Regions from separate parts of the Mus musculus genome. Here all the other regions are reported to be linked to region 1. Evidence: microRNA targets listed by miRTarBase, many of them from high-throughput screens and not tested one by one. Region 1 holds a microRNA gene; each other region holds the end of a gene's coding sequence.

Region 1 (8,016 bases):
TCCCTGGTAAACAGCGCCGTCCCTAAAGATATCCAGCATACAGAAGAAAGACTCCCTTTCTTTCCCTACTCCAGACTCAAAACTTAAGTAGTAAAGACTTTCCTTCTTGGACTGGACATGTATAAGTAAACTGTCGTTCCCTGCCTCAGTGTCATGCCCACCCCTAAAGTGGACCGCCAGGACCTAAGGGAGTCCTCTACCTGAGGGAGAGTTTGGCAGAGAGGCCAGAGCACAGAAGACTCAACAGAGCCTGGGCACACTCGCGCGCCTAGCACTTCCCTTCTGCAATCTGAGGGTCCCTTGTTTCCTCATCCTGTTTCAGGCACCCCCAAGAAAAATAGTCCTAAGAGGCTTGGCTTAGCCGCCCTGTACCCTCCTGGTAGCCCCAAAGACTTGGGCCCTAGTGACTTTAGAGTGTCATTTGTGGCATGGGTCTTTGAGCTGGAGCTTGGTTGCTTCCCTTCCCGCTTTTCCCCTTTCCCCTTTCTCCCTGGTTTTTGTCTCCTGCACCCGCGGCTATGAGGCTCTCTGTACGTGGCCACTCCAGGCTCCCCGTGTCCTTCCCGGCCCTTCCTGGCTGCAGGCCAAGGCTGTGGCTCTGCGTGTCCGCACGGCCTCCCCCCTCCCCCCTTCCGCTCCGGGGCCTCCGAGCGAGCGGGCGAATGGTTGGGCGGGGCGCGGAGCAGCGCATGGCCACGCCCCCCGGGCCGGCTTTTTCTAGGGCTGCTGCGGACCACTGGGCGCTGGCTGCTCCCGCTCGCCTCTTGGGGTGCGCTCGGCTCCAGCCCAACTCCGCCAGCTCCGCCGGCTCCAGCACCGCTCCAACCCGATTCCAGCCGGATTCCAGCCCGATTCCAGCCCGGTTCCAGCCCGATTCCAGCCCGGTTCCAGCCCAGCTCCGTCCCGGCTCCGGTTCTTCTCCGCCACGCCTCTCTGTGAGCCCCTCGCCCCGCGAACCCCGGTTCCCCGGCTGTCCGTCCCTCTGTCCCTCGATGTCCCGCACCACCGCCACCTCGCGCCCTCCCAAGTCTCCGCGACTCGCTCTTCTAACCTCACAACCTCGCCACACCCCTCCGCCCTTTCTCTCTCGCTGTCCGTCTGTCTGTCCGCCTCCCCGCCCGCCTTTTCCTTCCTCTCTCTAGCTTCCCCGGCTTGTTTTCTAGGTCGACGCTGAGGAGCAGCTTCGCAGGAAAATCCCAGAAACCTTTGCAAAAAGCTTACAATGAAATTTAAGAAGTTCTACGATTTCGGCGCCATTTTCGAGTGGAGTGAGAGGTGACTTAGAATCTAAAAAAGAAAAAAACGAGGGGGAAGGGAACTTTTTGGCCCGCCTCCCCCCGCCCCCAACTATGTCTCTGGTCACTACAGACTGTAACAGATACGGGGATAATTCTCAAAAAAATGTTATGCGTCGCGCTGGGTGGGGTGTGGGGGTGGAAAGCGTGTCCGGGGGTCGTGGTGGGGGGAGGACAGATCTTTAAAATGTCTAGCAAGTGAGTGTGGCCAGGGAACTTCTCAGAAAGTGGACTGAGAAGAGTAAACGGGGAGGGGTGGGGAGAGAGAAATGAGTGAGGGGCGGGCAGCCTCAGGCTGTCAGCCTTGCCAGGGTGGGGAGCAACTAGTTTTGACAGACTGTAAATGGGACTTTGGGCCACTCATTTGTAAGCAGTAAAGAATGTCCTGGAAAGAACCGTAAAATTCGTTTTCCATTGTCTCTCGCTAATTAAAACTTTTCAAGGTTGTTTAGTTGTTTTTTTTTTTTTTCCAGTATTGGAAAAGTTTGGCTGGAAGGTGCGGAGGACCTGTGCATCATGTTTTGGGTGTGGGGGCGCATGGCATCTGCAACATTAAAAGACAAAACGTTCTCAACTGGGAAGAGAGGAAGAGGCTTAGTCTTTGGCTCTTAAATCATTTGGCCAAACCCTTCGCAGTTCTGAAGTGGGTGGGGCCATTTTGACCCGTCGTGGTTCTGAAGTGGGTGGGGCCATGGTAACCCTAAAGTATTGATTCTTTGTCTATTGTATCAGCGAATGACCCTCTCTAGAAGTGACCAGACATCTCTTTGTGCTCTCTTTTCGTAAGTAAAGTTAAGCCCAAGGGGAAATACACAAACCCAGGGAGTGAGATGGCTTTTTAAGGATATAAGTCGTTGTAGAGTGATGGGAAGAAAAGAAATGGATGAAGGATAATCTAGAGATGAATTTGATTCCAGTGTATTCGTTAACAAAATTATCTAGTAAGACCTTCGTTTTTGATGATGTTATCTCGAATGAATTTTGTTTTTATGAGTAGTCAACTAAGGAAATGTTAAATTAAGAGGAATTGCAATCTCTGATGTGACATTTGTGTGGGACATAAAGTTAAATTGGGAGAAAAATACGTATCTTTAAAGTATAATTGTATCTTTACTAAACACGGCTTTTCTCTCTCCTCTTTTTAAAGGTGACCATCGATGGTTTTTTCCTCCACAATTCCGTGTCCATGTAAAAATGACTTGTAATATAGCCAAGAAAAGACGGAATTTTCATTCCAACTTAAGGAGTGGGGCTGTTATTATTAATGGCTTTATTTATCATGACCTAAGCAATGCATATGTTAGCACTGGATCATTATCTGTTATGTTAGGAATTTTGTATTTAGTTTAATTACATACTCTGTATATTTTATTAATTAATTAAAAGGACCCAGCATTCATTGTACTAGTTTCGAAAAACGGACATAATTTTAAATGAGAATACAGGAAATTTGTATACAGAATGTTTTTTGCTTTCAAAGGCACTGTAGTTTTGTTGTTTTAGTTATTAGGTTTGTGGTTAAGGACTAAAGGATGGTTTTTGTGCTTTCCTGAATGCTTTGTTTAAACAAGGAAATGAATGTAACTTGTTGCTCATGTGTGTCCATTTTGAAAAGCAACAGTGGGAGCTGAGGAGAGCGCACAGTGCCGGCCATTTCAAGACAAGATTTTCAGTGGCGTGGCTTAAGAAGGAGTGATTTGTATTTAACATCAAGTATTTAAGGATGTCATTTATTTAAAGTTCTTGATTTGTGATTTGATGTCGATGGTAACAAATGTCTTTATAAATAAGCTTGAGTAGCCAGCAATGTATGAGAACATCCAGGAATGTATGTTTCATCTAGAACATTCTCATGCTTTGTCCTTAAAAATAACTAATGACGAGGTGATTACTGTAAGAACGGAGGAAACTACTAGACAAGTCTATTCCATGCCTATAGTATTCAGTAAAACCAACTGGGACTACCCAGAGGGATTTTTTTTTGATTATCAAAAGTTCCTTGCACCAATTTCCAATAAATGATCAAAACCCGGGGACAATAAATGAGACTTATACAAGGTAGCAGGAAGTTTCACCAAGACTTTGGAGCTGGCAAGAGTGATCCAGATGTTACCAAATTGTCTCAGTTTATTTAATCCCACTTTTCATCTACTTTCTGAGGTAAGAGTCTCCTCCTCCCCACTATCCACCACACCCTGCTTTCCAACAGTACACCCTTTGCCTCACCAGCAGATCCTGGAAATCACAGAGACTTTCTTCCTTCGCAGGTACCCCAGAGCGGCCCCCACCCTCGTTGACTCCGAAGGGCTGCAGCAGCAATTCATGTTTTGGAGTATTGCCAAGGTTCAAAACATGAAGCGCTGCAACACCCCTTCGTGGGGAATGTAGAAGGTGGGGACCTGCTGAACAGACCTGTGTGGGTTCTACTAAAAGCCCTAAAGCAGGTAGGTGGGAGGGCAGGGGCTTAGTCTAGTGAGGGTCACTCTACACAGTCCAAGGGCCTGGGTGGGTGTGAATAGCAAGGTGGCAATTCACTTGAAGAAGGGACAAGGCATCCTGTACTCAGCCCATCCCACTCAGTCGTGCCCTAGCAGCGGGAACAGTACTGCAGTGAGTGTTTGGTGCCCTGGAGTATTGTTTCCACTGCCTGGGTAAGTCTGGGTCTTCCACATGGGCACACCCACCAGGTAAGTTTCGGTTAGCCTGCAGCATAGGCCCCATGGGAGGGAGACTCTAGAACAGCTCCCAACTAGAGTTGCTGATCTGTGACTCTGACTGGGTGTGACTGAAAGTGTGTTGTTAGCGCCTCACTTGCTGCTCAGGTAAAAGTGAATCAACTGGGAAAAAAAAAAAGCACTTCCTGGTCATCAAGTAGTATACCACCCACAAGAGCGAAACAAGAAAATTTGTCCTAAGTCCTCAACAACAAAATGGAGAAGGGGTCCTTCCAAAAGGAATAAGAAGGGTTCTGAAGGGCAGGAAGGATGACTTGAGAAAGTCCCCATTTCTCTTTGCAGTTTAGGAAAGATTAAGGGGTCCGTGGGAGTGTCCCTGGATCTCTTCGTGTCTTGCTGGTGCGGACCCCCAGGTGGTACAATGAGAGGCAATGGCCCAACAGGAAGCCTCAGTGAGGCTCTGCATTTCTAGTCCCCATTTATCCCCCTTTCCCAAAGTCATCACACAATTCTACATGGCAGTGGGGACATGGGGACACCCTTGTCACTGCCTAGAAGTCTCTGAGAAAATGGCTGCTTTGTGACATCCCAAACTCTGCTGTGATTAATCATGGCACCTCCGTTTCCCTGAGGAGCCCTTTGAGCCTGGAGTGAAAAAAAAAAACAGGTCAAGAGGCGCCTGGGAACTGGAGAAGAGTGTTAAACTTCTGGAGCAAGACTGTACTTTTCCTGTGAAAATCACTTTCCATAATCTGGAGTATAGGCATGTAAAGGACTGTTGGAAAACGGAGTGTGGGTGAAATCGTGCTGCTTTGTCTTATTAAAAAGAAATAAAATACATGTACACACACCCTTCTGGTCTGTATGAACTGCTTGTCATCTTCCCCAGGGACTGGGTGCAGGCCCCCATAAAAGGTACAGTTAGAGGAGGCCTTGTGAGCCTGGGAGTCTAGCTCTAGCCACCAAATGCCTTTCTCCCAGACTCCTTTGCGTTTGAACAAGGTGTGGGAGGTGGTTTGGGTCCCGTTGGGCCCCCAAGGACCCCCTGGCTCCCAGGAGCACTGAAACCCCTTGGAACTTAAGCCACGCCTTGCCCCCATCTCCTTGGCTTCTTGAAGCCACGCCCCCCAGCTCCTGCCTCACCCCTCCCCTTGGCAGGGCCCCTCTGGCCCGGAATCCCCAAGACAAATGGCTAACAGGTTCAGGCGCCCCGCGTTCCTATGCGCAGGGTTGGAGGAGGGGCACTTTGAGACTTCCTATTCTCCCTCACCAACTTCCCTTCTCCATCTCCACTGTTCAACAGGGCTTTGCCTTATGCCAGAGGAAGAGCGCCGGGGCTCACTGAAGGCCCCCACTCACCCAGAAGAATCTGGCCTGCGCCATCTGGCTGCTTCCAGTGGGTGCCTGCAAGATTCAAGTGAGATTCAGGTGGGTTGGGGACTTTAGAGCAGAGGAGCAAATGATCCAGGTTTAAGGCCACTGACTAAGAATCTAAGATGCCATTAGCCCAAGGTGCCCAAGGGCGCCAAAATTGAGCTCATCCACATAGCACCTGGCTGCGTGGTGCCCTTTTTTGATTTGAAATGCTCTTCGCACCTTTATTTGCCTAGTCGAAGTTATGATGTGCTTCGATTTTCTTCCAAGGGCAAAATGTGAATAAAGCAATATTTTAGCCAAACACTTCTATGTCAATTAAGAAGATGGCAATTCGTTCCAGATTATAAATTCCCTTTAACAACTCCCTAAGGTATTCTTTTAAATTGTTTTTCAAACATTGCTAAATGTGCATGATAATGTGTGGGAGACTTGTATAAAGTGATTCAATTTATGGTCGGCTGATTAATTGATCCTCCATTACCACATTCAAAGAGGCACCTCTCCATTGTTTTCTCCGTTTTTTTTCCCCCAACACATGTTATTTGTTAGTGAGGAAGCTGTGTGCACGTGGCATTGTAAAAGGTTACTAGACAGACATGGCTCTTAAAACTATGAAAAGCTTAGCCTGGCTCTAAATCTAAACTCTGACATTTCTGTAAGTTGTAGGACAAGATATTCAGGTTATTGTGATACACTAGAATTGAACATAATTTTGTAACAATTTTAATAACAGGAATACTTCTGAAGGCATCTTCTGCTAGCCATATTGGTTTGGTTTGGTTTGGTTTTCCAACAAGGGAACACTACATCAACAATCTTGGGGATGTGGACACAGAAGACTCCTGTTCCAAGAAAGTACAATCATCTTTCAAAAACTGTAATTTATATGCGTTTTACCACACTAGATATTGAAAACCACCCAACTAGGGGGGTACAGTATATAACCAGTCACTAGTGTAATATTGTATACCTTTTTAAAATGTTATTGGAAAGTGTTTTATGATCTGTAAGTCAAATAATCCGGCCCCACCGTTTTCATTTTTCCTGCTATTCCCCCAAATCTAGGCTCCTTTGTTCCAGTTGGCATGTAAACTTGTTTTTTCCACCAAATGAGTCAGTCCTGATAGAAGCGTCAATTGATTTGAACAGATGTGTGTCAATGTTACTTGGAAAAACTAGATGCCAATAACCAGGGCCACAGAAAAAGTCAGCAAATGTAATTGTGTAAAGCATTTATGCATGCACGCAGACAAGGAGAAAAGTTGAATCCTAAACAGGAAAACATTTGGATACACTCCAGTGCTGGGAGACCAAATAATTCTGTGTTGCTTTTGATGTCCAGTAACATGGGCAACTGTCCAATTAAACAAACACCCAAGAAGGACTCTGCAATGCCCATTATTTTACTGATTATTCTAAAGCACCATACCTGTCAATCCATTGAGGAGGAGGGAACAGCAAGGGAAACATGATGAATCTACACGACATAAATTAATTAATAGGCAGATTTCCTGAGAGACGGTGCAGATTAAAAAAAAAATACAAATAGGTTCAAAAAGTATGCTTCAGGAAGATCAATGAATATATATTGATAGAGATCAAAAGACTTGAGCTGTGGGCATTACCAAGTTAACATTAATTTCTAGAGATCTATTTTCCCGTTGTCCAGAAGCATTTCTCATGATGCCAGAAACTTATACGTTCATCTTTATGTAGAGTTATTGTATGCCTCTTAAAACGAAACACAGTATGTATACACCAATCATAGCAAATCTGTATCTCCGAGGCCCAGTTCAGCCTGCCTTATGCCCATCCATTGAGCTAGGATCTCCTGGCTCTGTCCTAATATTTCACTCATCTGTTTCCTGCACTGGGTCCACAATTGATATCCTCCTCAAGTTTAAAGGGGCTTAGAGCCTTGTGGGAGGAGCCTCTAACGATTTCCATTTCCTGTGGTCCCTCAGCCTTGGAGCACTCCCCTTTACTCTTGAGCTCTGTCTTCGGAGCAAGTGGTGAAAATTGAAAAGCGTGCCCCCCTCCCGCCCCCTCCGCCGCACTCCCCCCCTCCCGCTCCCCTCCCCAGCTCCAAGTCGGGGGCATTGTTGGGGGCTGGGAATACTGCTTGCTTTGCAGCCTGACTCCTTCCTTCGGGTCTTTTGCTACCCCTCCCCCACCTCCACTCTGCAGAGTGAAGGCAGAATGTTTGTGCCCTAGAAACCAAATCTTTACAATCCTCATCTCAGCACTTGCCTTCATTTCCTCTGTTCACTTACGGCCCCAACTGCTTTCATAGATTTGTTGTTTACAACTTTGAGAGATAAGTAAGGCAGACAAAGTTTCGAGAGACCTGAGGATTCTGAAGATGAAACCTGGGAAACTGCATCATGCAGACTTCATGCTGTGCCAGGTAACATTCCTGCCTGGCCATCAGAAGCTTACACCATAGTGATTAGGACAGAAAATGGAGCTGAACTAGTGTGTTTGGTTAGAAAAGGTCTAGTTGAAACTGTCTAGTCCTAAGAAGGACGAGTGAGAGTCTAACTGCTGGACACTTCCTAACTGAGGCTCAAGATTGACTTCATGATTAAGTAATGACTGTAAGTCACCTACCCATGCATGATTCAATGTGTACAAGCTTAAAAATTGTAAAGTGAATTCACTTTAAAGCT
Region 2 (8,016 bases), not on the chromosome of region 1:
GGTGGGGGGTGGGGGTGGGGTGGGGGGGGTGGGGGGGGAGGAGAGGCAGATGATAGCTGATTACCTCCCATAGCACTGATTAGGATCTTAGGATTTCTGAGCCACGCCTTTGTTCGTTTGGTTGGTTTGGTTTCTGTTTTTTCCTAGGCAGGGTTGAGTGCCTGCACCCACTCCAGCGCTACCCTGCCTGTGCGGCATTAGCAGTTGATTCTAAATTCTTGTTCACATTCCAAACATTGTAAAATCGCAGAAGTATGTGCATGCCCTGTGAGAAACTATTGGTTGGCTTTTAGTGGCGTGGTCTAGGGTCTGCCCAGCTGCCAGGCACAGCCTCCCAGGACTCCCAGGCTGTTTTGTCTCCTGCCCCACAGAGGTGGGATGGTTTGAACTGGGCGCTGCGGTCACGTACTCTAGTGCTCGGAGAGCCATGGTGGCAGCAGGGTCATGGTCAGTCATCACGAGGCGGGCTGAGTCTTGATCCTGTGTGTCAGTTGGCGCTTGGTCTCCACAGGGACTTCAAAAGCAAGAATGTACTGCTGAAGAGCGACCTCACCGCGGTGCTGGCTGACTTCGGCCTGGCTGTTCGGTTTGAGCCAGGGAAGCCTCCTGGGGATACCCATGGACAGGTGAGGGACCTGGGCACTGGGAGGAGGGGCTGGAGCGGCTGATGCTCTGTGCTCCGCTGGAGCGATAGAGCTACCTGGGGACGTAGACTCACCAAGAGAGAAAAGAAACCAAGGCCGGAGGTTGGTGAGGCTTCCTCCAGCCAGGCTAGCAATTTGGGCTTCAGCAATTCCTCCTTGTATTTCAGTTTTTCTCTTTCTGTTGTAATTTTATTATATATATATTGTATATATATGAAATATATTTATCTTTGTGTGTGTGTGTGTGTAAGGGAATCTGTTTTTTTCCCCATCATGTGGGCTCCTTGGATTGAACTTGGGGTCGTGTGGCTTGACATCAAGCACCTACTACCGAGGAACCTGCTTGCCCTCAGTTTTAGTTATTAAGCGAGATTAAAATCAAAGGCCATGAAAATTAAGCCAGCAATCATCCTAGGAGAATCTCCCTGTGGGTTAAACATGCTCTCGACATTTTGTTTCGGCCTTTTGATTTCTGCTGTTTATTTAGCGTGTGTATTTCTGTTTCCACATGAGTGGCATGTCTGGGAATGGAGGCCTGAGGTAGTCACTGGCACCTTCCTTGATCACCTAAAACCTTGTTGATTAATACTGGGTCCTTTGCTTGGACCCAGATCTCTTCAGTTAGTCTAGCCGGCTTTCTCTGTGGACTCCATCGCTGTCTCCCGTGTTGCAGGCAGGTTGTTACATTTATGTGGATATCCAGACTTTCATCTTCACACTTGAGTGACAGGTTCCTTAGGAGCTAAGTCACTTCTTCATCTCCCCCTGGTCTGTTAGAGCGTCTGTCTCTGTCGTTCAGATTGGTCTGGGACTTTTGGTTCTCCTGCCTCAGCCTTCTGAGTGTCTGGCTTTGCTTTAGGTACCATCAGAGGCAAAGCCTCAGAGTAGCTTGTTTGGGATGTCCTAGGGCCTGCAGAGCTGTCCGATAAGCACTGCCTCCAGCTCGTGGTGTCATCACAGTTATCAGCTGGAATCTTCACTCTGCCTCAAACGGGATGGAGCAGGCTTTGGCTCCAAGGCTTCCTGCTTAGAATTCCACTCTTACCCAACCTGGTGCATGGCGCTTCTCCCAGCTGAGTGTGATTGTGAGTGTAGCTGGTCTCTGGAGATCCTGCCCTTTGTCTGCCTGTAGGTTGGCACCAGACGGTACATGGCCCCTGAGGTGCTGGAAGGAGCCATCAACTTCCAGAGAGACGCCTTCCTGCGTATCGACATGTACGCCATGGGCCTGGTGCTGTGGGAGCTCGTCTCTCGGTGCAAGGCTGCAGACGGTGAGTGGTTTGGCGGCTCTGGGCACCCTGGGTTGGGGCCTTGGAGCCGGGCTTCGGGTGATGCCATCAGCCCCTCATCACTCAGGGCCTGTCGATGAGTACATGCTGCCCTTCGAGGAGGAGATTGGCCAGCACCCTTCGCTGGAGGAGCTTCAGGAGGTGGTTGTCCACAAGAAGATGAGGCCCACGATTAAGGATCACTGGCTGAAACACCCGGTGAGGGGGCTGGGCTCAGGAATCACAGGGCGGTGTGAAGGGGAAGCTGCCGCGTTCCCGGGACTCTAGGGACATATCTCAGAGGTTGTGGAGAATAAGGTAGGCCCTGACCTCTTTCTTGAACCTGTTGTAGCTCAACATGGAAACGTTGGGCAAATTTTTGTGTTTGGGCTTGGTGTTTATTTGACTTGAGTCCCAGTGTCCCAAGATGAGCAGCTGCAGCTGCCTGCGGGGAGCGGCCTGTGGTGAAGTTTAGTGAACATTCTCCTGGACTGGGAGGAGAGGGGTCTCGGGGACTGCTAATTGACCTGCGATGGTGGTGACAGGGCCTTAGGCCCTTCCTGATCCTCTCACACAGACCCACTGGCTGCCTTCATTAGGTGGCCCTAACAAGGGTTCTTCCCCCCTCCCCCTCCTCTGCAGGGCCTGGCCCAGCTCTGCGTGACCATCGAGGAGTGCTGGGACCATGATGCAGAGGCTCGCCTTTCTGCAGGCTGTGTAGAAGAGCGGGTATCCCTGATCAGGAGGTCGGTCAACGGCACTACCTCGGACTGTCTCGTCTCTCTGGTGACCTCCGTCACCAATGTGGACCTGCTCCCTAAAGAGTCCAGCATCTAAGCCCGGGACACGTAGCGTCTCTCCAGACTCAGTGGATCTGAAGAAAAAAAAAAGGAAAAAAAAAAAAAAGAATTGTGTTTTGTTTTGGAAATCCCATAAAACCAACAAACACATAAAATGCAGCTGCTATTTTACCTTGACTTTTATTATTATTATAATTATTATAATTATTATTAATAATATTATTTTTGGATTGGATCAGTTTTTACCAGCATATTGTTCTACTGTATTGCAAACAGCGGACACGTCAGCAGGCGTTGCGGTGCTGAGCTGTGAACGCAGAAGCGGCGCCATGCTGAAGAGCCTCAGCCACCTCCTGTCCCTCGGATTCATCTCCCCTCTTTCTCTGTCGTCTCAGAACCTGTAACACAAAGAAACTCCTGTCTTAGGAAACTCAATGCTGCAGTTCTCTACTAGAGGAACCTTTGAAGACTGTTACACGGACACACCCTTCCTCCGAAGAGGGCCCCCCACCCCCACCCCTTTATTTTGCGTTTCTCCCACCTCAGGCCGTGAGCTTAAGAAACGGCGGCTGTGTTTGTCTTCGTGGGTGTAATGGGTGTCGTCCTGACCCAGCCTCGGGGAACTGCGATCAGGAGGGCGGTCTAGTCTGAAGCCAGAAGGGAGGCTTCTGGGTAGGGTGCGGAGCAGAGCTACACTGGACTTGGGCACATTTGGAGCAACACCCTTGGCTATGGAGGCTACTTTCTCAGGTAACAAGGGGTTGAGGGCAAGGACCTTGTGGAGGCCAAGCGGTAATAATAGCAAGCACAGGATTTGGAGAAGGCCCAAGAGCAAGGGTCAGGTTGCCCCACCTGTCTGGTTTCTTCCCACTGACGGGCTTGGCCATGGGAGAAGACGCAACCTTGCTCCTGTGTTAGGACCAGGTGAGGGCGTGACAGTTTAGTGGACATTCTTCGTTATACATGACGCTGTAGAGCTCTTTCATGGAGGAAATACCGAGCTGCAGTTTCCTCTTGGCAGTTTGGGGAGATGCCTGTGGCCGACCCTGCACAGCGTGGATGGGCCAGAGGATCCCTGGTGGGGACCATGCCAGCCTGCAGCTTTGGCATGGCCCCATGCAGTGCGGCATTACCGAGTCCTCTCTGAGGCTCACGGGTGCGGCTTTCTCCAGACCCTTTTAAAGTGGTGCATATTCTTAAACTGTGTTTCTCTTACACCATAACCTCGCTCGCTCCAGGCGGTGAATGTTCTTAATGCTGCTGTTTCGACATTGGATTTTTTTTTTTTTTAATTTATGAAACATGCTAAGGTTTTTTTTTTTTTTTTTTTTCAGACAGAACACACACATCCACATATATACACATGCTTTGCTGTGTGGCTTCCGAGGCTTAAATTTTAAAAAGTGAAAGAAGTAACTTCACGGCCACAGACCACCTCAAACCAGAAATACCTCAGAATTTTCTACTTGTGTATGTTTTATTAATTATATATTTTGTTAGTTGTGTTGTCTTGTAGGAAGTATATTTTAATGTAAGTTGACTTTTATGACGAGGAAGTTTAAAAGAAATAGAGAAAAAGAAAAAAAAAGTTTGTGTCTTCTAGTCAGTACTACCATCTTTGTTTGATAAAAGCGCCCTTGTGAATAGCAGGCACCAGCTGTAGGTTGGCTGTCTGGGCTGAGACGGGCATTCATCTGGTTTTGACTGTATCATTAAAACTGCACACCTCTTGACCTTGAGGGTAGATAGGCCACTTCCTCCCGGATTGCTTAGAGGTCCACTGGGTAGCACTTGGAACAACACGCCCACTTTACCTTGGTGGTAGCACGGCCCTCAGACCCACCGGAGGTAACAGTCTGTGACATTCAGTTCTTTCAGCAGCAGCAGCAGGTGGAATTCTGTCCGGCCAGTAACTGCGCTGTGATGTCTGGGAGGGCACGGCTCACAGCTGGGCAGCCGCTCCCTCGGCGTGTTGTGTGTGGTGCCTGAGTTGTTCCTGGGCTTGTTTTTCTCTGTGGGTGTTTGTGCACAGGGTGCTGAGGAAGGCTAAGTGGTTTCCCTTCCTCTCAGACTTAGTATGTTTCCGTGGGTCAGTGTGGGCTGGCTGAGGAGTTCAGGGGACGTGGACTCTGTCTCTCTAAGCTATGTCTGTCCCTCCCCCCCACCCCCCACCCCATCTGATTTTGTGCTGTGGTATTTTCTTGTCTCAGAATACTTTCCACTGGTTAACAAGTCTTAGAGCAGTTGCTTTCTTTTCCATTTGTTTCTTTAAGGAGCTTTAACTATTTATTGAAAAGTGCCATATATCTCCTTTCTCTAGCTTTCTCCTCAGGCGGTGGGAACACCCCTTCTTCTAACCCTTAACAAACCAACCACTAAGGAATGTAGCTCTTTCGCTGCAGGAGTGACCCAGTCACCAGTCACATACAGTGCCAAACTCTAAAACCCAGCTCCCTGAGTGGTGTCAGGACCCTGGGTGGCTTTTCTCTTGTGTTGCTGGTTGTCAGAAGCATCCTGGCCTGGCTGAGCTCTGGTATGGGACATCCCAGTGAGCCCTGTGTCCAGCCACGGCAGTGTCCTTGTCAGACCTCTTGTCAGAATGGATTGATTGTCAAGACAGGGTTCCTGTTTTGTGGCCAGGAAAGAGGAGGAGCTTGGGTGCTGGTGTCTCTGAGTAGGGGCTGTAGACTCCCTCTTGCCTTCAGGTAACATACCCAGCTGCTCATAGCTGGAAGGTGGGTGATATTCCAGGGTGTGGCCCGGAAGCTTAACTTCCTTCCTCCCTCCCTTCTTTTCCTTCTAGTTTCCTTCTTGTGCCCAGTTGAGACCTGAGGCTTCTGCCTCACACTTTCCTGCAGGTTTTGTATCTATTCCCCTCTCCCTCTTTTTGGACGACCAAGGAGGAAGTCCCTCTGTGTGGCAAAGGATGAGACATGGGGGGGGGGGGGGAAGGGCTGCGGGTGCTTCCTCCTTCCTTCACTCCAAACAGAGCCCATGACCACCAGCCTTGGCAGAGAATGTTCCGGTTGATACCTGTGACAGCGAAAAGTCACCTGTTGAGGGAAATGTCTGTGAGTCAGAGACAGACAAAGCAAGTAAAGGCAAGGTCGCTGAGTCTCGAACACTCACTGACAAGGTTGCCGAGGAAGGCTGTCAGCAGTTGTTAGCATCTGGGCTAGCATGGGCTAGCATGGGCTGGCCTGGTATCACGGACACCAGATGCAGGGGGAAATGTGGGCCTTCTGCTCATACATCCACAGGGAAGGGCGGATCCCTTTCTCATCACTGGGCTACCAGGCCTGCTGGGCCTTCCTGACCAGGCTTGAGCTTCTAGCAAGGTGCGTGATCCTGTCTGTTCTGGTCTCTCTTCATCCCTGGCATTGACCATGCCCTTGACTCTCTGTCTTGCTACTCTACCCTACTCTGCCCTAGGGCTTAGGCTCTGTGAAGGATTTTTCTTGGTGGCCAGCCTACATAGGTATTTAATGGTTGCCATGTGCTCTTCGGCTCAGAGAGCCTGTCATGTGGCATTTCCTATGCTCGGCCACTGAGGCAAAGAAGTGACTGTCCCATCTAGAGCTGGAGGGCCGGATGGTTCTCTCACACACAGACTTTGGTTCTCTCACACACAGACTTTTACCTTTGTAGTGTATGAAGTTCCTGGTGCATCCTGGTGGCTAGGAGAATGTCCTCGTTGTTTTTCCTACTTAACTAATGCAGTAAAAGCTTACTGTGCTGTGAGTTGAATTCCTGCCGTTGTTCTTAGGACATGGTTCATTAGATGAATCCCTGAATCTGAGGAGCTCTCAGGTCGCTCAGCTTGGTCTCTGGCATCAGCTGTTGCATCTTTTTGGGCTTTTGGAGACACAGCTTTGGACGTGATCAAGCCTGGTCCACATCTCAGGCAGGACTTGTAGAGGACAGCTTTCCTAAAAGTGTGGGAAACCGCCAGGAAGGGATGGTGTCCCAGGAATCCTTTCCTCTCAGAACCTGGAGACATGGCTTTTTCTTCATCCCTGGCTGTCTGTAAAGGCTAAATTGAGAAGTGCTCAGCAGCTGGCTTGTCCAGCGCAGTGATGAGGTTAAACCTCAGCTAACATCATGTTATATAAGTAGGCCCAGTAACTCAGCTGATGGGTTTCTTAGAATCTAGATGCTAAACGCTCCATGCATTCAAGATTAAATGCCTAGTTCTTCTTCACACACAGTTCTGGGTAGTTGACTCGTAGCCAGCAGCCCTCCTGTGGATGTACCCCAGACCTTTAGAAAGATGTTGAGGAAAGTGCTTTTTGCGATACCAATTTAGTTTTATAGGAAAAAGAAACTGAAGGTCAAAACACTCCCTTGGAAATCAACTAGTTGGTTCAACCACGTTAAAGAAGAAAGGAAGAAGGAAAGAGAGTTTAAGAGGCGCGTGAACTATCGTATCAATAAGTATGCCCAAGTTCTTTTGTGGGATCCTTGGGATAGTGCTATTTGGACCTATCTGTGATTAATGACTGTGAACCACTGTTGGGCTGACCGTTTGCAGTGAGATCAGGAATGCCTGCGTCTGCTGGCACTAAACCAAGCTGTAGCATTTTCATGCTGGCATCTTCCAGGTGTGAAGGAAGCAAGACTTTGCCCTCCTGGTGCTCCGTGGAGCTCCTTAGTGCCCAGACCAGCGCCATTTCCCCCATCCACGGCAGCTCCGGGCCATGATTTCCCCAAGAATTAAAGTTCCTGTTCCTCATGCCGGTGAGGGGTAGTGGGCTCTGCGCTGACCCCTTGCTCTCCAGGCCGGTGTCTACACTGCTTAGGCTGAGTTAGTGTGTGCAGCCCTATGGGTGCGTGTGGTAATCGATTCAGACGGGTGTTCTGAACACCTGCAGAGAACAGTTACTGCATTCGGTTGTAGACTTTGTGCTTTTGAGTTTACAGTTGGGGGAAGTGTGACCCATTAGTTTTTTCAGGCACGTGAAGGTGGGTTATTGTGAATAAACGAGCATTGCCTCAAGTCCTGGGGCACCCACCCTGCATGGGCCCATTCTGGCTCCTGGTCACTTTACACCAGTGTTGTTAGATAGTGCTGTAAATAAGAGTAAGTTATATAACAGACGCCACTTGAAATTTTACTTTAAGAAGTCTATAGCTCCACACATATATTTAGTTATATCTCTTGACAGATTGCCTCCACACAGTATGGAGATTGTTTTATACCACAGATTATTTTTATAAACTAGTGAGTCGAAGTGAGAATGCGTCTGTAATCCAAGCCAATGAGCTTTACTGTCAGGATTATGTGCACCCTGGAGCCGAGTGCTG
Region 3 (8,016 bases), not on the chromosome of region 1:
CTACCCTCATCATTCCTGGAATGGAAAGATGCTTTTATTGAGAGAAACTCTATGGTAAAATACACACTTGCAATAGGCTTTCCAGAAAATTATCTCATTTATCCAACTTCCAAAATTATCAGATAATAGACAAGGTCAAAACTCATTGAACCCATATCCATCACCAAATATACGCTCAATGTTCCCATGTGCTATAAATGCCTTCCAGATCCAGGGCTTCCCTAGTCTGGATTTACTCACTCCACAAAAATTTATTGAATAGAACCAAAATTCTTCTAGACACCAGGACTTCAGAAATAAGATCTTCATCTTTGTAGAGTTCTTGTCTTGCAAACATAAATACTTGAATTTGATTTCCAGAACCCACATTTTAAAAAAAGAAAGAAGAAAAACAGCCAGATATGGCCAAATAATCTTGTAGTCTCAATTATAGAGAGTCAGAGACATGCCAGCCAGTCTAGCCAACTTGGTAACCTCCAGGACAATGGGAGATCCCATCTCAAATAACAAAGGTGGAAAATTGTCTGAGGAATGGCATGCATAGTTCCCCAATGTCCAACACACAGAGAGACAAATGTGCATGAGCATGCACGCAAACACACACACACACACACACACACACACACACACACACACACCCCAAAATTAAGAGTTGGTCAAACATGAGCATTAATTCCTATAGTCTAACACTTGGGAGATAGGATCAAGAGTTTAAGGCCAACCTTGGCTGTGTAGCAAGTTTAAGGTCAGCCTTGGCTACATGATATCCTGTCTCAATACTAAGATAATATTAAACAAGATGAACGTGCATATTAGTAAAATTGTTTTGATTACTAAGTATAACTCTTGCAGAGAAAGATAATAAAGTCTCTGGTGAATAGGAGCAAGAATAACTTCCTTGAGGAACATGCCTTTCAGGATGAGAGAGAATTTACCAAAGAGATCAAGAGAGAATGAAAATTTCCAGTAGGCAGAACCCAGAAAAAGCAAAGCCTTGAGGATCATCAAAAGGCATGTGAATTTATCACATAGGCATGGAGAAGGGTCGAGTTGGATAAGTAGAACTCAGAATTCTGTTTGGAAAAGCATTTCCAGGAGGTTGGAATGGGAGAGAACTAAAACTGGATAAGGCTGTCAAAAAAAAAAAAAAAAAAAAAAGCCAATAGATGTGCCCCAAGAGAGAGTATGGATGCAGGCCCAGGAACACATTTGCGCCCTAAGGAGTTCTTGAGTTCATCCTTTTCTCTGTTGTCCCTCTTCTCCCTCAACTCCTATACTCTCAGCCATCTGCTCTTGATTCCCAGTACCCATGTGGAACACTGGATTAACCAGGGACTTCAATGCAAACAAGTCCCCACTAGTTGATGATTCTTAATGCTGCAAACCATCCAATCCCACTGTGTGCTACTATAAACAGCTTGTTAGCAATTTGGTTAGCAACTAAATAAGATGAATAGCTAAGAAAATGTCAAGAAGGGACTTTTTTTTATTTAGTGTGTATATATTATGTCTCTAAACTTGTTTTTCAAAGAAAATCATTCCTTGTAAAGAGCGTCATTAAGTCTTTGCATCAGGGTGTTAAGCAGATATATTTTATAGTGTCTAGATAGCTTTTCATTTTCTTTTGAAAGAATTCCATCAAATGAGATAATTTAACAAATAGATGTAAGGCTAAGACCATGATGGCTTTGTTTTGTTTTGTTTTGTTTCTTGAGCTTTAAAAGCCCACTAAAGATTCTTGAATTTCTTTTAATACTCAGAATCACGGGAACCGTTTCTGTTTCCCTCAAGCCAATGTTTGTCTTGCAGTTATTCTGCCATCTTTGAGGAGAATGAACTCAGTGGCTGGGATTACGATTATGACTTCTGTTCACCCAAGACACTCCAATGTACTCCAGAACCAGATGCTTTCAATCCCTGTGAAGATATTATGGGCTATGCCTTCCTTAGGGTGTTGATTTGGCTAATTAATATACTAGCCATCTTTGGCAACTTGACAGTCCTCTTTGTTCTCCTGACCAGTCGTTATAAACTGACGGTGCCCCGCTTCCTCATGTGTAATCTCTCCTTTGCAGACTTTTGCATGGGGCTCTACCTGCTGCTCATTGCCTCAGTAGACTCCCAAACAAAAGGCCAGTACTATAACCATGCCATAGACTGGCAGACAGGGAGTGGCTGCAGTGCAGCTGGCTTCTTTACTGTGTTCGCCAGTGAACTTTCTGTCTATACCCTTACAGTCATCACTCTGGAAAGGTGGCACACCATCACCTATGCTGTTCAGCTGGACCAAAAGCTGAGGCTGAGACATGCCATCCCAATTATGCTCGGAGGATGGATTTTTTCTACCCTGATGGCCACATTGCCCCTTGTGGGTGTCAGCAGTTACATGAAAGTCAGCATCTGCCTCCCCATGGATGTGGAATCCACTCTGTCACAAGTCTACATATTATCCATCTTGCTCCTCAATGCAGTGGCCTTTGTCGTCATCTGTGCTTGCTACGTTAGGATATACTTTGCAGTTCAAAATCCAGAGCTGACGGCTCCTAACAAGGACACAAAAATTGCTAAGAAGATGGCCATCCTCATCTTCACAGACTTCACATGCATGGCACCCATCTCATTCTTTGCCATCTCAGCTGCCTTCAAAGTACCCCTTATCACTGTCACCAACTCAAAAGTTCTGCTGGTCCTTTTTTATCCTGTCAATTCTTGTGCCAACCCATTTCTGTACGCAGTGTTCACGAAGGCATTTCAGAGAGATTTCTTTCTCTTGCTGAGCAGATTTGGTTGCTGTAAGCACCGGGCTGAACTTTACAGAAGGAAGGAATTTTCTGCATGTACCTTCAACTCCAAAAACGGCTTTCCAAGATCAAGTAAGCCTTCCCAGGCTGCCCTGAAGTTATCCATAGTGCACTGTCAACAACCTACACCTCCAAGAGTGTTAATTCAGTAACTGCATTACTGAATTGTATCTAAATATGTTCCCCCCAAAAAAGTCCACCCAAATTAGTCACTTTAATATAATGTGTTTTAGAAAAAATATTTATCTTTAAGCACTTCAGGTGAATTGAAACCTGCTTCAAAGGGTGGCCCAAGACACTTGGTGACATAAATTTCAGAAGGGTTTAGAAAATTTTTTATAATAATTTAGAAAGAATAGTTTTTGTTTGTTGAATCTAATATTAAGAAAATCTAAGTTGTTGTCATTTTCCATGTCTCTTGATCTTTTTCACTTCAATCTGTGATTCATGTTGCCATCTCTAAATATATATTCATAACAGACTGGAAATTTAAAGTGGTCTTTGTCCTCAGATAGTTTGATAAATACATTCAAGAGATGCACTGTGCAGCGTGATAGCTGTTAGCCTTACATGGTAAATAAAAGTTTCTTAGCCATATCCCAAGTGCTTCGTGGGTCTCACTAGTAATAGGAGGCACAGATTCAAACTGTTTTCATCAGTGCAAGGAATTCTATTAGACAGCTCTATTCTAGAGACTTCTATTTCCCATTTACACTCTACTCACTTAGCTTTCCATCTGAAGGCACATTTCTGCATACTTGTTTGGCTTACAGAGCATGAACCCCTTGTGGGCAGGAACCCACCTCAGTTTCCTCATCTCCTATCTGGGGATCTTGGAAATGATACACAGCAAGTGTGCCTAGCTAGTTAAACTTCTAGAGATACATGGAGAAATGTTTCTTAGTATATTTTTTTGATCGTTACAGGCTTTATGTTTTTTTGTCCCCATCCCGGTATCTCTTCTCAGAGTTCTTCACTCCCTTTTGCCTCTGAGAGGGTGCCCCTCCCAGAGAATTCCCCCTCCCCTAGGGCATTAAGTTTCTGCAAGATTAGGCACATCCTCTCCCACTGAGGCCATACAGGGCAGTCCTCTGCTACATATGAGCCAGGGGGGCTTCAGACCAGCCCATGTATGCTCTCTGGTTGGTGGCTTAGTCTCTGGGAACTCCAGGTGTCAAGGTGAGTTGACACTGTTGGTGTTCCTTTGGGGTTGCCAACCCCTTCAGTTACTTCAGTCCTCCCCCTCACTCTTCCATAGGGTACCTTTGCACCTTTAAGAAAACAAAATATTCAAATTTTTAAAATTATTAACCCATTATTTCTATGCTTGGCACTTTATTGGGAAATATATCTAATATTGTCAGAAGCACTTGTTACTTCCTACAGCTGGCTCTTGCAGGACACCCGACTGATAGGTCTCACAGCGCAGCTTTTGTTTGCCCCTTTTCCTTCTTGATTGAAAGTTCATTACACACACAGCATCTTGGTGAGTGTATTATATAATCTCACCAACTGAATCTTCAGAAAACTCTACAGTTCAGATGCCATTATATTATACAAGAAAAAAAGACCATCACCATTTTTGAAAGTACTGAAAACTAGGAAAAGATTCAAGTAAAAAGATTCAATCTCAAAGGTCCTCACAAAGCTTAGCCTCTTTAATGATTCCCATACTGTTAAAAAAAATTCATTGTTTTCCAAGAGTTACTTTGCGTTGAAATAAATTTTAAAAAATTGGATACACTGACAGATGGACAGACAAATACTTATTAGGTAGCTAGGTTTTGTTATTTAAAAGCTTATATACATTCAACGTTCTTTAAGTTTTCCCAATATTTTATTATGAACATTTTCAAATGTACAGAAATGTTGGAGAAACTGTATAGTGAACACCCATACATCAACACTATTTACAGCAAGCCATATGTTACTATATTGACTTTCATACATTACTATGCAATTATCTGTTATTTATCTGTCAATCAATGTCTTACATATTTTGATATTTTAAAGTAATTTGCAGGTATTAGTCTTACACAAGAGAATACATTATACACCCCCGTGTAAATGAATGTCAGTACTCATATTCACTGAGTATAATATATAATATTTATTTACGTTGTTGGTATAATCTTAAATGTGCCACTTGAGTTTTGAGAACAGCACACACCTATGTCAGCCACACTGTGTCAGGATTTAGTCTAGTTAGTTAGAGAGTTCCTCACTGTGGATGATGGCCGATATTCTCCACAGGCTAGTGTTTCCTGCCCTAGATGGCATATAAATGCAGGTCTATAAAACATGTGCTTTTTCACATGGCTTTGGACTTAGTTTATTATTCTTACTATTCATCCACTTGATTGCTTGAATCCATTTATTCCTTCTCATTGCTAACTGAAATTCTACCGTATTAATATTAAAATTCCTTTCTCCTACTGATAGCTATCTTGGCTATTTCCAGCTTTCAACTTCCTGTGAGCATTTTATTAAATAAATGTCTAACCATAACTAGATTCAACACATTTACTTTGCTTTCATTTCTTAAGTCATTACATAAAATGATTCAAAGAAGATTGTAAGATTTATAAAGAGAAATCTCTTCTGTGTTTACATTTATGACCTCTCTGCTCCATAAAGAACGACTTGGTTCAGGTGGAGTCCTTTCTTGCTCATCTTAGAATCTGTCTCAGCAACACATCAGAATACTAACTCATCAAACTACTTATATAACTACATGATAGTCTTTCTGATTCATAAACCCCAGGAAAAAAACAATGTAGTAAGAAAAAGTAAACAGGCACTCTGGTTTCTGACTCCACCTGTAGCAGATCCTCTGCCACAGGAATCCATACCCAAATAGTGCCAGGAGGGAGGGAGCCTCCCAGGAGCACAGACAGGCCTGTGAGTGCAGATAAAACCACCACTGCTGCTCAGCAGAACCTGCCTGGAACCCTCAAGACACAGGAACCAAGGGGCTGCCTGGAACAGGAGTCTTACAGTCTCTGTCTGCACCCAGAGCTGATCCTGTGCCACAGAGCTACATATAAAAATACCGCCAAGAGAGAGCTGGTCTCCCAGGAGTGCCTACCCAACTGAGAGCACAGGTAAAACTACCACTTCTCTTCAAATTCCTGGCCCAAGACGGACACTCACAGAGCCATCAGGACACAGGAAGCAAGGATCAGCTGGGGACAGGATCCTTCTGGTCTCTGCACTCCAGAGCTTACCCTGTACCACAGCTCTCCATACCCAAATTCCTCCCTGAGAGAACTGGTCCCCTGGGAGTACTGACACACAGGCTTGCAGGAGGGACAAGCCACAGTCAGAGACAGCAAGACCAGCTAACACCAGAGATAACCAGATGGTGAAAGGCAAATGCAAAAAATCATAAGCAATAGATACCAAGACTACTTGACATCATCAGAACCCAGTTCTCCCACCACAGTGAATCCTAGTTTCCCCACACACCAGAAAAACAAGACTCTGGTTTAACATCACATCTCATAATGATGATAGAGGAATTTAAAAAGGACATAAATAACTCCCTTAAAGAAATACAAGAGAACAAAGTAGAAGACCTTAAAGAGGAAACACACACACACACAAAACCCTTAAAGAATTACAGGAGAACACAACCAAACAGGTGAAGGAACTGAACAAAACCATCCAGGATCTAAAAATGGAAATAGAAACAATAAAGAAATCACAAAGGGAGACAATTCTGGAGTTAGAAAACCCATGACCTCTTACATAAATAATGGTCCTTATTTTCTACATCATAACTGAAGTTTTAATAAGTGAAGTCATAGTTTGCTGTCTCCTTCATTTGTATATCCTCCCTCCCATAAGCTTTATGTTTGAACTCTCCTCTAACCCAGCTCTTTACTCTGTGTCCTAGAGCCACACATGCAACTCAAGACGTTTCTCCACTTACTCCTGGACTTTGCTATAACTATATAATTTGTATTTCATACCCAGTCATTTCTGGTTCCTCATCACCATTCAAACCACTGATGAACCTTCCTAAAATCCTATTTCATTTCAATACATGCCTGCACAGAGTCCCCAAGGAGCTCCTCGGCGCCTGGATAACTGCCTACTCCTAGGCTAGCACTGAGAGAACTCTAGAACCTGTCCTCAGATCTGCTCATCCGTTCATCTGCTATTTTCTTCTTGAAGCAAATGGACTCAGTGACCCTTCCCAAAGCCATTCCCTTCCACTGCCATGCTGGAGCCCTTCTCTGATGTATTATACTTCTTAAGACATCTCCTCTGTGTAAAATAAAGGACGTGACAAATGTGTAACCCATCACGGTCTCTCTACAGACTTCTTTAGCTACACATCTGTATGCTGCATGTGAACTACATGCATGATGCCTGGAGCCCACAGATGCCCTGGCATTGGAGCTACGGAACATTGTGAGCACTGTGTGAGTGCTAGAAATCCAACCTTGCTCCTCTGGAAGAATAATTGGTGCTCTTAACCACTGAGCCATCTCCCTATCTCCTTTAGACTTCTTGAGCATTCTCTATCACTCTTTCCCTTCTATTTATCCTGGCATATTAATTACGTACACAAACCGATCCTTACTTCACCTGTGTTAGCAAGAAAAACTATTTTAACACATCTGCTTTTCAACTTAGTTCATTTTTAAAACAGAAATATAAAACTGCTATTGTTAAGAAGTATTTCATGTTGGAAATGTCTAAACTGTGTTACTGTCCTGTATAATCCCTCACATCTAAATCATAAACCCTCAATGAACTCATGACTCTTTCTTGTATTTTCTCACCATGTTAGATATTGTTATAAATCGACTGTAAAATGTCTTTAAAATATTCATCATCCTGGAATAAACCATCTAAACTTATAAAAATAACTTTAAAAAAACATTGGTATTTGGTTCTCGGCTTACTACATTTGTTATAAAGGGCTTGCTTTTACTTTTTTTTAAATGTACTAAGACTAAATATAAATTAAGAACCTTTCTCACAAAGGATTTCAATAACTAGGCTCATATAAGAAATGACCTTTTCTTAGCTGGGAAGATGGCTCAGTTGATCAAGTACTCACCACACAAGCATGAGGACCTGAGGTCAGAACTTCGGGACTCACATAAAAACAGGGAGCAGAAATGTGCATCTGTAATCCTAGCACTGATTAAGAGATGTGGACAGAAGCAAATTTCTGGAGCTCATTGATTTACCAGCCTAG
Region 4 (8,016 bases), not on the chromosome of region 1:
GGAGGCAAGCCCTGCCTGGAAACAGCCCTGCTGGCAGATGAGGGATTGTGCTGTGAGGTTCTGCTGGGGGCTGCCGCTGGCTCCTGGGCTCAGTGACTACTTCAGGAGGGAAGCTGTTCGTTATCCACAGCCTGAGCACTTGGCCTTTCATACTCCATTTTTAACTGCCATCCAGCAACAGCTTTATCAAGGCTTCAGCCAGTGTCTGCTGGGCTTGGTCCCTAGAAGCCTGCTCTTACCCAATCAAATTTTTCCTCATAGCTCACCCCACTCTTGCCTTCAGGGCCTTACTGAAGACCGACTGAGAGCCAGGCAGCTGTCAATCATGTCTGAGAGCGTTTCTGCCACATATAGGGTTCTTCTGGTGAGAAGTTCTAGCAACCAGACTACATCATACTGACCCCTATGGAAATGAGGACTTAATGTGCCACAGATAACTGTCCCATTTGAAGGTCCCAGCACTGACGTGGAGCTGGATGGTAGAGGGCTGTTCTCAGTGGGAGCAGTCAGGGGTCTTTCTGGAAGGATCTGATGGCTAACGAGATAGTTGGCACTTAATGCATTGTCCATGCACTAAGTTGCTTTATATGTTGGGTTCCCCCCCCCCCCGACATCTTCACAGAGGTGGGATAGGCACTAACAGTATCCCCGTTTTATAGGTGAGGAGAAGGTGGCATGTGTAATGGAAGCTTCTAGAATCAATGGAGAACAGTGAGGATTTGAGTATTGGTCTTCTTTGGACACCTCTCTCTCTCTCTGCTCTGTGCCATGACTCCCCAGAAGGAGGCCGTCAAAGCAGGGCACTTTAGCATCCAGATAAGAATGCATGAGAGCCAAGCCAGACCACACCTGGCTTTTCTTTGTGTGTTACTAGGCTGTACCATCTGCTTGCCCACAGGTGCTTAGGTGGGAGAGGTTGGCAATGAGGTCCCTATGACTGCCCCCACACACCCTACTTGGTAGCTATCCTAGGGCCTCAACAAGGCTAAGGAAGACTGAGACAGAACACACAGGGCTTGCGTTGGAGTTTGGTTGCCTGCGTGTCTAACGTGTCTCTCCTTTCTCTGCTCTGTGCTGCAGGGACTCAGACCCTTCAGGTAGCCCAGTCTCAGGTTGCTTTGCCCGATGCTTCTGCCAGAGGGAGGTCTATTAGAAGGTGGTGGGATCATGAGAGGCGAGAAACCCAGACATCTCTAACTCTTCTTGCCAACTCAGGAGCCACCTGTGGCCCCAGCTGGCCACCAGCCGTTCCTCCCTCAGAGGCCTCCATTTCCACAAAAGGCCTTCCTGGTTGTTCAGGACAGAGCCTGGTTTCCCTGATACCCCTTCTCTCAGTGGCCACTGAAGTTACAGGGATGCAGCCAGCCGTGGTTGCCATGTCTGTATATGCTAATCTCCGAATTCCACTTCCTGTTTAGATTCTCAGCAGTTCTCCCGTGCTGGGCTCCAATCGCTCAAATTAAAATTCTTTTTGTTGTTGTTGTTTAATACTTGAAACTGGGTTTGTTTGCCTGACTTGGTCCTGGATGATTAAAACCCTCTAAACAAGGATATGTAACAGTGTCCCTGTTTGAGACCGACTCTTTGGAAGACTTCTAGCAATCATGACATCTGAGCTTGCAGAAAAGAAAACCAGAAATGTCAGGCCTGGCTAAGCACTGGCTTCTTGGGTAACCTCTGCTTTTGAAGACCCCCTACCCCCATCCCCCGTCTCCATAGCTTTAAGAGAAGGTAGAGCGAACATCCTGGGCAGGTCTCCTTCCAGGAGGCAGAAAGCTGGACTCCAAGTCTGGAGCATGGGGGCTTCTCTGTGCTGATAGTACGCAGAGGGATTAGGAGGAGAGAGGGAGATCGTCTGTTTCTCTGGAGCCAGGTCCACACGGTGAGTTCCTCGTTCCCTCATGGATGCGATCCTGACTGGGTGTGCCCTTTCTCTGGCTCCTCCTTGCTTCCAAATGTCCAGAGTCGTGCCCTTCACAAAGACTCTCTCTAAGATGGGTTTCTCTCGGGGATGGAGGCCATTTTTCTCCTGGAAATAAATACCAGAAGAACAGGGAGAGGTTGTGGTGGGGTTGAGTTGCAGCCTCTCTGGAGGACAGAACAAGCTCCCTTGCCAAATGGTACTTTAATGTCCTTTTGGTTCACATGCCTTACAGAAGAAAATGATTCTACTCCTCTGCTGCGGCTCACCTGGCTCTCCGTCGCTCACTTGGGCTGCTTCTTTCCCACCGGAGTAAGCGATTGGAAAGCAAAGGTAAGCAGGAACAATTTTTCCCCCTCCGTTTTCCCCCACCCCCAACCCCGGCAGGCTTAATGCCTCGGCCATAAAGCGTTTACAAACTCTAAAGAAAGATAATAACTTCCCTTCTCACGGCCCAGTCGCGGGGAGGTAGTGCATGTTTCCAATAAGCTGGAAATGTAACTCAAATAGTAGGTTTTATTTCACTTTAATCCGCCTGCGAGTTCACGTTAAAGGTAAGAGGAATCAGTCTTGCAATGTGAACCAAGTTCATTAAAATCAGCATCTCCTCCTAGGACTTAACTCCTCCCCCCAAGTCTTGGCTAGATGGATGACCTGGGGCAGTGGAGAGTGACTACAACCCAGAGGCCGTGGGCAGGAGCAGGGGAAGCAGGAGCCAGTGGATGGAGTAGGAGGCAGGTGCCCCAGCTGGTTTGGGGGTGTGGGGGGAAGAGGATGTACATTCAATGAGGCTTGCTTGCTTGCTTGCTTGCTTGTGACACCTCTTGATGGATGGCAACCTGGTTGTGCAGTGGGTAGTTATAGAAATGATTCTCAGGCCGTGTCCTCAGCTCTACCAGACACTAGGAGGACTGAAACTGAGCCCCTCAACTAGGGCTTCCTTTCCACATTTATGGAGCCACTGCTCCCTGGGTGCCCTGGTGGTGCTCCATCAGTGCCTTGGTGGTGCTCCCTCAATGCCCTGGTGGTGCTCCCTTGTTGCCCTGCTGGCAAATTTGACTGTTGCTTCTTTGTGTAGCAATAAGTATTCCTTCAGGTTAAGAACTATCTTGTCCAGATCTCTGGCAGGGTGGTCTCCTGGTGCTCTATGGTCTCAAGCAGGGCTGGTGTGTATAGCTGGCAAGCTTGCAGAGCAAGGTGGGTATTGCTGGTGCATGCTCGAGAAAGGGGGCCAGGGAAAGGATATTTGTCAGGTAACTGGCCTGGTTCCGGGCTAGCCAACTGACTCCTGACAGCCACAGCTAAGGGCCCTTCTCAGGGTCGCCTGGGCATGCCTGTGGCCTTGCCCCTCTTTATTGGAGGCTGAAAGAGCTGGTGAGAGGGAGCTGTCTCCCCTTCTCCATGACAGTCAGTCACCATATAAATGCCCTAAACCTGGGTTCCACTTAAGTTGGGGTACAAAGGCTCAAGGAGGAAGAAAAAGGAAACACTGCCAAGTTCTCCAAAGCCCTGGGCTGCCCACTGAGCAGGAGAGGGAGGGACAACTATCTTTCGAACTCCCATACTCTCCGGTCTCCTGGACCTTAGGGGCTGCTTCCATTGTGGGACTCTGACTGCCGATGCCTGCTTTGTGAAGTCTGCTTCAGACCTTCATTCTCACTCTTGGCCTAACATCCTCTGGCCAGCCCCATCACGGCCACTGGGAGTGCAACAGCCTTGAGAGGATACAGAGACTCAGGCAGGCTGGGAAGAATCACATGTCACTGAAGCCCAGGCCTGTGAGGATAAAATAGCCTCAAAAGGCAGGGCAAGGCAGAAGTTCTGAATTTCCAGACATCGTCCGTCTCCAGATCTGAGGGCTCTGCGGTCCACCTGATCAGAAGGGATTAATTTATCTTATGGCAGGTGTGTTTGCAGCATATGTATATGGGCAATCGAGTCCACAGGACCACAAGTGCTTTACTTGGTCCACTGAACTGGCCAATGCTCACTGACCCTCCTGAACACCTACTGTGTGCCACAGGCACGTTTACATGCAGTGCTTCAGTTTACCTCTACAGGGCCTCTCATGTAGGAAGCACAGGTCCAAAGACCATGGGATGGTGAGTGAGCAATGTGAGTTGTAGCCCAGACAACAGGCTGACCAGAGCCCAGCTTGAAGCTACTGGTGTTTTGTGCATATGAGTGTCTGTGTGTCTGTATGTTCTGTTTGCTTCCATGTGGTCACGCCTGTGGCCACACAGACTGCACTGCTGGGAGGGGGAAAGCCGAGGACATTGTTAGGAGATGGTGAGAGGGGACCCTGCATAGGCAAGAGAAGCCACGTCAAATCCCCAAACCAGAGTCTTGAAGTCAACCTGCAAATTTCAAGGGATAGAGGAGTAGAATAGGGGGCGTGAATCTGGCAGCTCGAGGCTTACACTTTTCAAGGGGAGCAGAGTCTAGCAGAGTTTCCTCTCTTGAGCACTTGACACAAGCCAGGGGCGGTTGGTAACTGAATCACTGGGGAGGGTAGATGCAGGACAGTGAGTGCAAGTCTGCTCTGAGCCACACAGTGAGACTGTCTAAAAAAAAAAAAAAAAAAAAAAAAGAAGGAAGAGAAAGAAGAGGAGGAGGAGAAAGAAATTCTCCTGAGGAGACTTTGTGAAACAAGCCAGATGTTTCCTGGCTCTTCTCCTTCCTGTGTCTGGCCTGTCACCCTCCAGCTTGTTCTTCAGTGTGAGGACCGCACAGACACTTCACCCAAAATCCTCCAACCACACAGTCTCCATGGGGGAAGTACTCTACTCTAGCTCATGGGCCCTTAGCAGGGACGGGGTTGTTGTACCCTCCTGGAGGGGAGAGGGATGGAGAGAGGCAGTCGGCAGCTGTAGTCAGTTCTACAAGTTCTCAGAGGGGCCAGGAGCTGCACCCAGAGAGCCTGGTCCCTTCAGCCTTTGGTGGCCACACACTGTCTCTAAGAGTGTCATCTCAAGCTTTGTCTGTGGGCAGCTGCTCTGTGATAGGCAGACTGGACAGCACTTGAATCCTCCAGGAAACCCGTGCTTCCTTTAGAACTCATCAGCCTGAACTACCGGCAGTTTCTACTCTCCAGAGCCAGGAATGTCTCTTGTTCTACAAACCCAGGTCTTTTAATACAAAGGCAGCTAAAACAAAACAAAACAAAAAAAACAAAACAAAACAAAACAAAACAACCAAAAACCAAAAACCAAACCCTTTTCCTCCCTCCAGGCCCCAAATGAAAATAAAATCCTTAGAGAGTCACAGAGTGTCGAAAGCCCTTGAGCTCTGGAGCCAGATCACTGGGGTTCAAGTCGCCCCAAGATCCAAGTTTGTAATAAGCTTAAGGAGTATATATTTTAGCTTCCCTGTCTTTGGTCTCAGGATAGCAGCCCCCCCCCCTTTTTTTTTAATTCCTTCTGGCACTAGGTGTTTTCCAGGTCCCACTTCCTAAGATACTCTCTGCTGTTCCTGCAGGTTGGAATACTCATCGTCCTGGCTTTCCAGAGGGAGACATCTAGGTCACGGTGGGCTAACTCACTTGCCTGAGGTCACCCAACTCACAGATGAGATGGCCCCGGCTACTGACCTTCTGAATTTTACTGTCCTTACCTGTGGACTATGCTTGAGACCAGTGTCTATCTAGGGGACTGCAAGGAGTGACTAGGCAGTGACAGCTGGCTCCAGCACTCGATGGCCTATTACACTGTGACTCGACCAGGAGAGGGATGAACATATAGAAGTGTTAACATCAGACCCACTCGATGATAGGGCTTAACTCCAAGTGAACAGAGGAGAGGGAAGATAGCAACAGCCATGATAAATAATTAAGCTGTCTGTCCCCGAACGCTTCTCCCTCCTGAGGCAGGCAAGCTGATGGCACGCAGATTCTCCCGGCTTTGTTTATTCCTGGATCCTGAGACTTTGGACATATTGGGTGTGAGGTGGGCACTTGGTGCAAGTTCATTGACAAATGAGGGAGAAAGTACTTTGGGAGTCTTGGGGGGAGGGGGACACGCCACTCACAGTATAGCCAGCACTGTCGCAGGTAGGTAGACACACGTCTTGTGTCTGTGAGCTGAGTGCACACAGTCTGTATTCTGTAGGAGGAGGGGCTTCCCAAGCCCGCATGTATCTTGTCTAGTGTTAGTTTCCTTATGGGGAAGACATGCTCAGCTGGGGAACAGTAATGATCATATGACCTAGGATTTGGGCACAAAGGGGTACGGGGTGGTATATGGCAGTGGTGTTCCAGGTGTTGAGGATATGGATCAGTCTGCTGGCAGCACTGTCCCCTGAGTGTTTGGGGTACTCTAGTGTAGGATCTGGTGGTATGGTGTTTAGCAGAGTCTGTGGGACTCTCCTTCTCTCACATGAGTAAACACCCCCCCCCCCTGCTAGCCTTCTGCTCCCTTCTGAGAAAATTCTCCCATCCTTGCCTACTTAGCTCCTTAACAATCCACCATCACCCCCATTGTCCGTTCAGGAAGGATAGGTACCCCCCTCGTCCCCTGCTCCCCCTTCTTGCTGGCATATGATTTACTCTGAGTGAGGTAACTGCTAGGTTGACTTCTTATACAACCTTGCATCCCAACCATAGAATTAGTTCTGAAAGAGCCCACTTCTCTAGAAAACCATAGACCTTTGACCTCTGGCCAACCAAGGCTCTGGTCCAGAAGGGATAGAGGATGGGAGGAGAGGAGAGGGAACAAGAAGAGGGCAGAGAGGAGGAAGAGAGAGGAGGAGGAGGAAAAGAAATGTCCAAACAGTCCTAGCTTCTAGCCCCCCTTACCCCCACCAAAAGCCCCGAGTTCTACTTGCAACCTTCCCAGAAACGTACGCCTACCTACCTTCCCAATTTCCTCTCACACCTCATCCAGGTTTCCCGCCCCCAAAGCCACATGACAACATGGTATACATGTGGCCCATCTGGGCCTCAGGGGATCCTACTGGGCATGCCAGCATAATGAAATACTTTTAGTTTATTAAACACAGGCTTTCCTAAGCCCTGAGCGCCTGTGGGTATTTGAAAACTGAAGGGAACCCGGAGCTACCTCAAACGTAATTTCTCCCTGTGTCCTTGCATTCCTGTTTCAACCCCATGTTCCTGCCCTTCGGCAGAAGAACATAAAGTAACTCCTCGCCAGACAATGGAGGAAATGGGGGGGGGCACAGAATGCTGGGAGAGGCTTCCAGAACCCCTGGGGGCCTCTAAACGTATATGAAGTTCCCATTACACAGAGCTACGGAGGGCATTTCTCCACCCCATGGGCTGCTCAAAGTTTACAGAATCAGTTCCCTGTGAACATGGCGGCCAGCAGGCTTTACATGTGAACTCTGTGTGTCAACCTCACAGGATATAGCTCTACCATCTCAAACCCTATTTTTGTCAGGTTTGCTCTCAAGCAGCAGGGCTAGTGGGGTGCATTGTCTGAGGGCCCCTTCTGCAACTTTGTTTCTATTGCTTCTTCCGGGCTTGGCAGGGAAGCAGCTGTCTGAGACTGGGAGGGGCTGTGGAGAGACCTCGAGAGTTCATGAGTTGCCTCCCCCAAAACAGGGGGAGTCTCTTTCTTAACAGAGTTTTCCCGGTTCATTCATCTGTCTCCTGAGCCTTGGGTCTGTAAATCAGGGGTGAAGGGCTGAGATGGAAGTAGCAGACAAAGGTCTCAAGGGAGGCTCCCCCCTCTTTGCGGACTAGCATCTGGATGCCAGAGAAGGAGATTCTGTTGATGGTGCCCAAGGGAACCTGCTCCAGGTACCTCAGTGGCAGCCCGTTGACCCACACACAGCTCTTGCGGGTCAGCACCTTGAGGCAGAAGGCCAGCAGACTGCTGCCTTTCTCCAGGTAGGGTTCCAGGGACAAATGGTAGCGAGACAACTGTGGCAGCTGCAGCTGGAGATGGGTGTTCTGTCCTCGCCCAACCAACAGCCGGCTGGCGTCATGTTGCAGCTGCTGTGGGACGTGGGCAAAGGCGACCGGGCCCTGTGTAGGGTGGTACAGGCTCACCTGCAGGACTGTGAGGGGCCTCTCCATAGATCCTGGGAAGAACATGACAAAGACACACTTCTGTAGTTTTCTGAGCCCAGGCAAGCTG

What was found. Region 1 holds the annotated microRNA mmu-miR-503-5p (UAGCAGCGGGAACAGUACUGCAG, at 3,884-3,906, shown strand). A microRNA usually pairs through its seed, bases 2 to 8, with sites in the 3' UTR of a target mRNA and lowers its output. Matches are read on the target gene's strand: a 7mer-m8 pairs with bases 2 to 8, a 7mer-A1 pairs with bases 2 to 7 and ends in A, and an 8mer does both.
Region 2: miRTarBase lists Acvr2b as a target of mmu-miR-503-5p. Seed matches in the 3' UTR shown: 7mer-A1 at 2,872-2,878.
Region 3: the mRNA of Lhcgr is a reported target of mmu-miR-503-5p. The part of its 3' UTR that is shown has no 7-base or 8-base seed match.
Region 4: the mRNA of Tifab is a reported target of mmu-miR-503-5p. Seed matches in the 3' UTR shown: 7mer-A1 at 5,308-5,314.

Annotation. Positions count from the first base shown.
Region 1 is chrX:53,049,917-53,057,932 of GRCm38, reverse strand. It overlaps Mir503 (microRNA 503), which reads left to right and starts at 3,879; the gene lies at 3,879-3,949. C430049B03Rik (RIKEN cDNA C430049B03 gene) reads left to right here and starts at 743. Exons shown (of 4, transcript NR_038185.1): 1 at 743-935; 2 at 1,164-1,275; 3 at 1,769-1,791; 4 at 2,443-4,821. It overlaps Mir351 (microRNA 351), which reads left to right and starts at 4,580; the gene lies at 4,580-4,678. Mir322 (microRNA 322) reads left to right here and starts at 3,584; the gene lies at 3,584-3,678.
Region 2 is chr9:119,430,713-119,438,728 of GRCm38, forward strand. It overlaps Acvr2b (activin receptor IIB), which reads left to right. Exons shown (of 11, transcript NM_001313757.1): 8 at 512-626; 9 at 1,777-1,915; 10 at 2,001-2,131; 11 at 2,555-8,016. The coding sequence ends at 2,749. Among named protein-coding and RNA genes, the nearest start is that of Exog, 10 kb to the right of the region's middle.
Region 3 is chr17:88,736,931-88,744,946 of GRCm38, reverse strand. Lhcgr (luteinizing hormone/choriogonadotropin receptor) reads left to right here. Exons shown (of 11, transcript NM_013582.3): 11 at 1,810-7,673. The coding sequence ends at 2,953. Among named protein-coding and RNA genes, the nearest start is that of Lhcgr, 51 kb to the left of the region's middle.
Region 4 is chr13:56,168,674-56,176,689 of GRCm38, forward strand. It overlaps Tifab (TRAF-interacting protein with forkhead-associated domain, family member B), which reads right to left. Exons shown (of 3, transcript NM_001168615.1): 3 at 5,030-7,960. The coding sequence starts at 7,955. The coding sequence ends at 7,512. It overlaps Gm31657 (a long non-coding RNA gene), which reads left to right. Exons shown (of 8, transcript XR_382472.1): 2 at 2,157-2,254. Among named protein-coding and RNA genes, the nearest start is that of Gm31657, 6.1 kb to the left of the region's middle.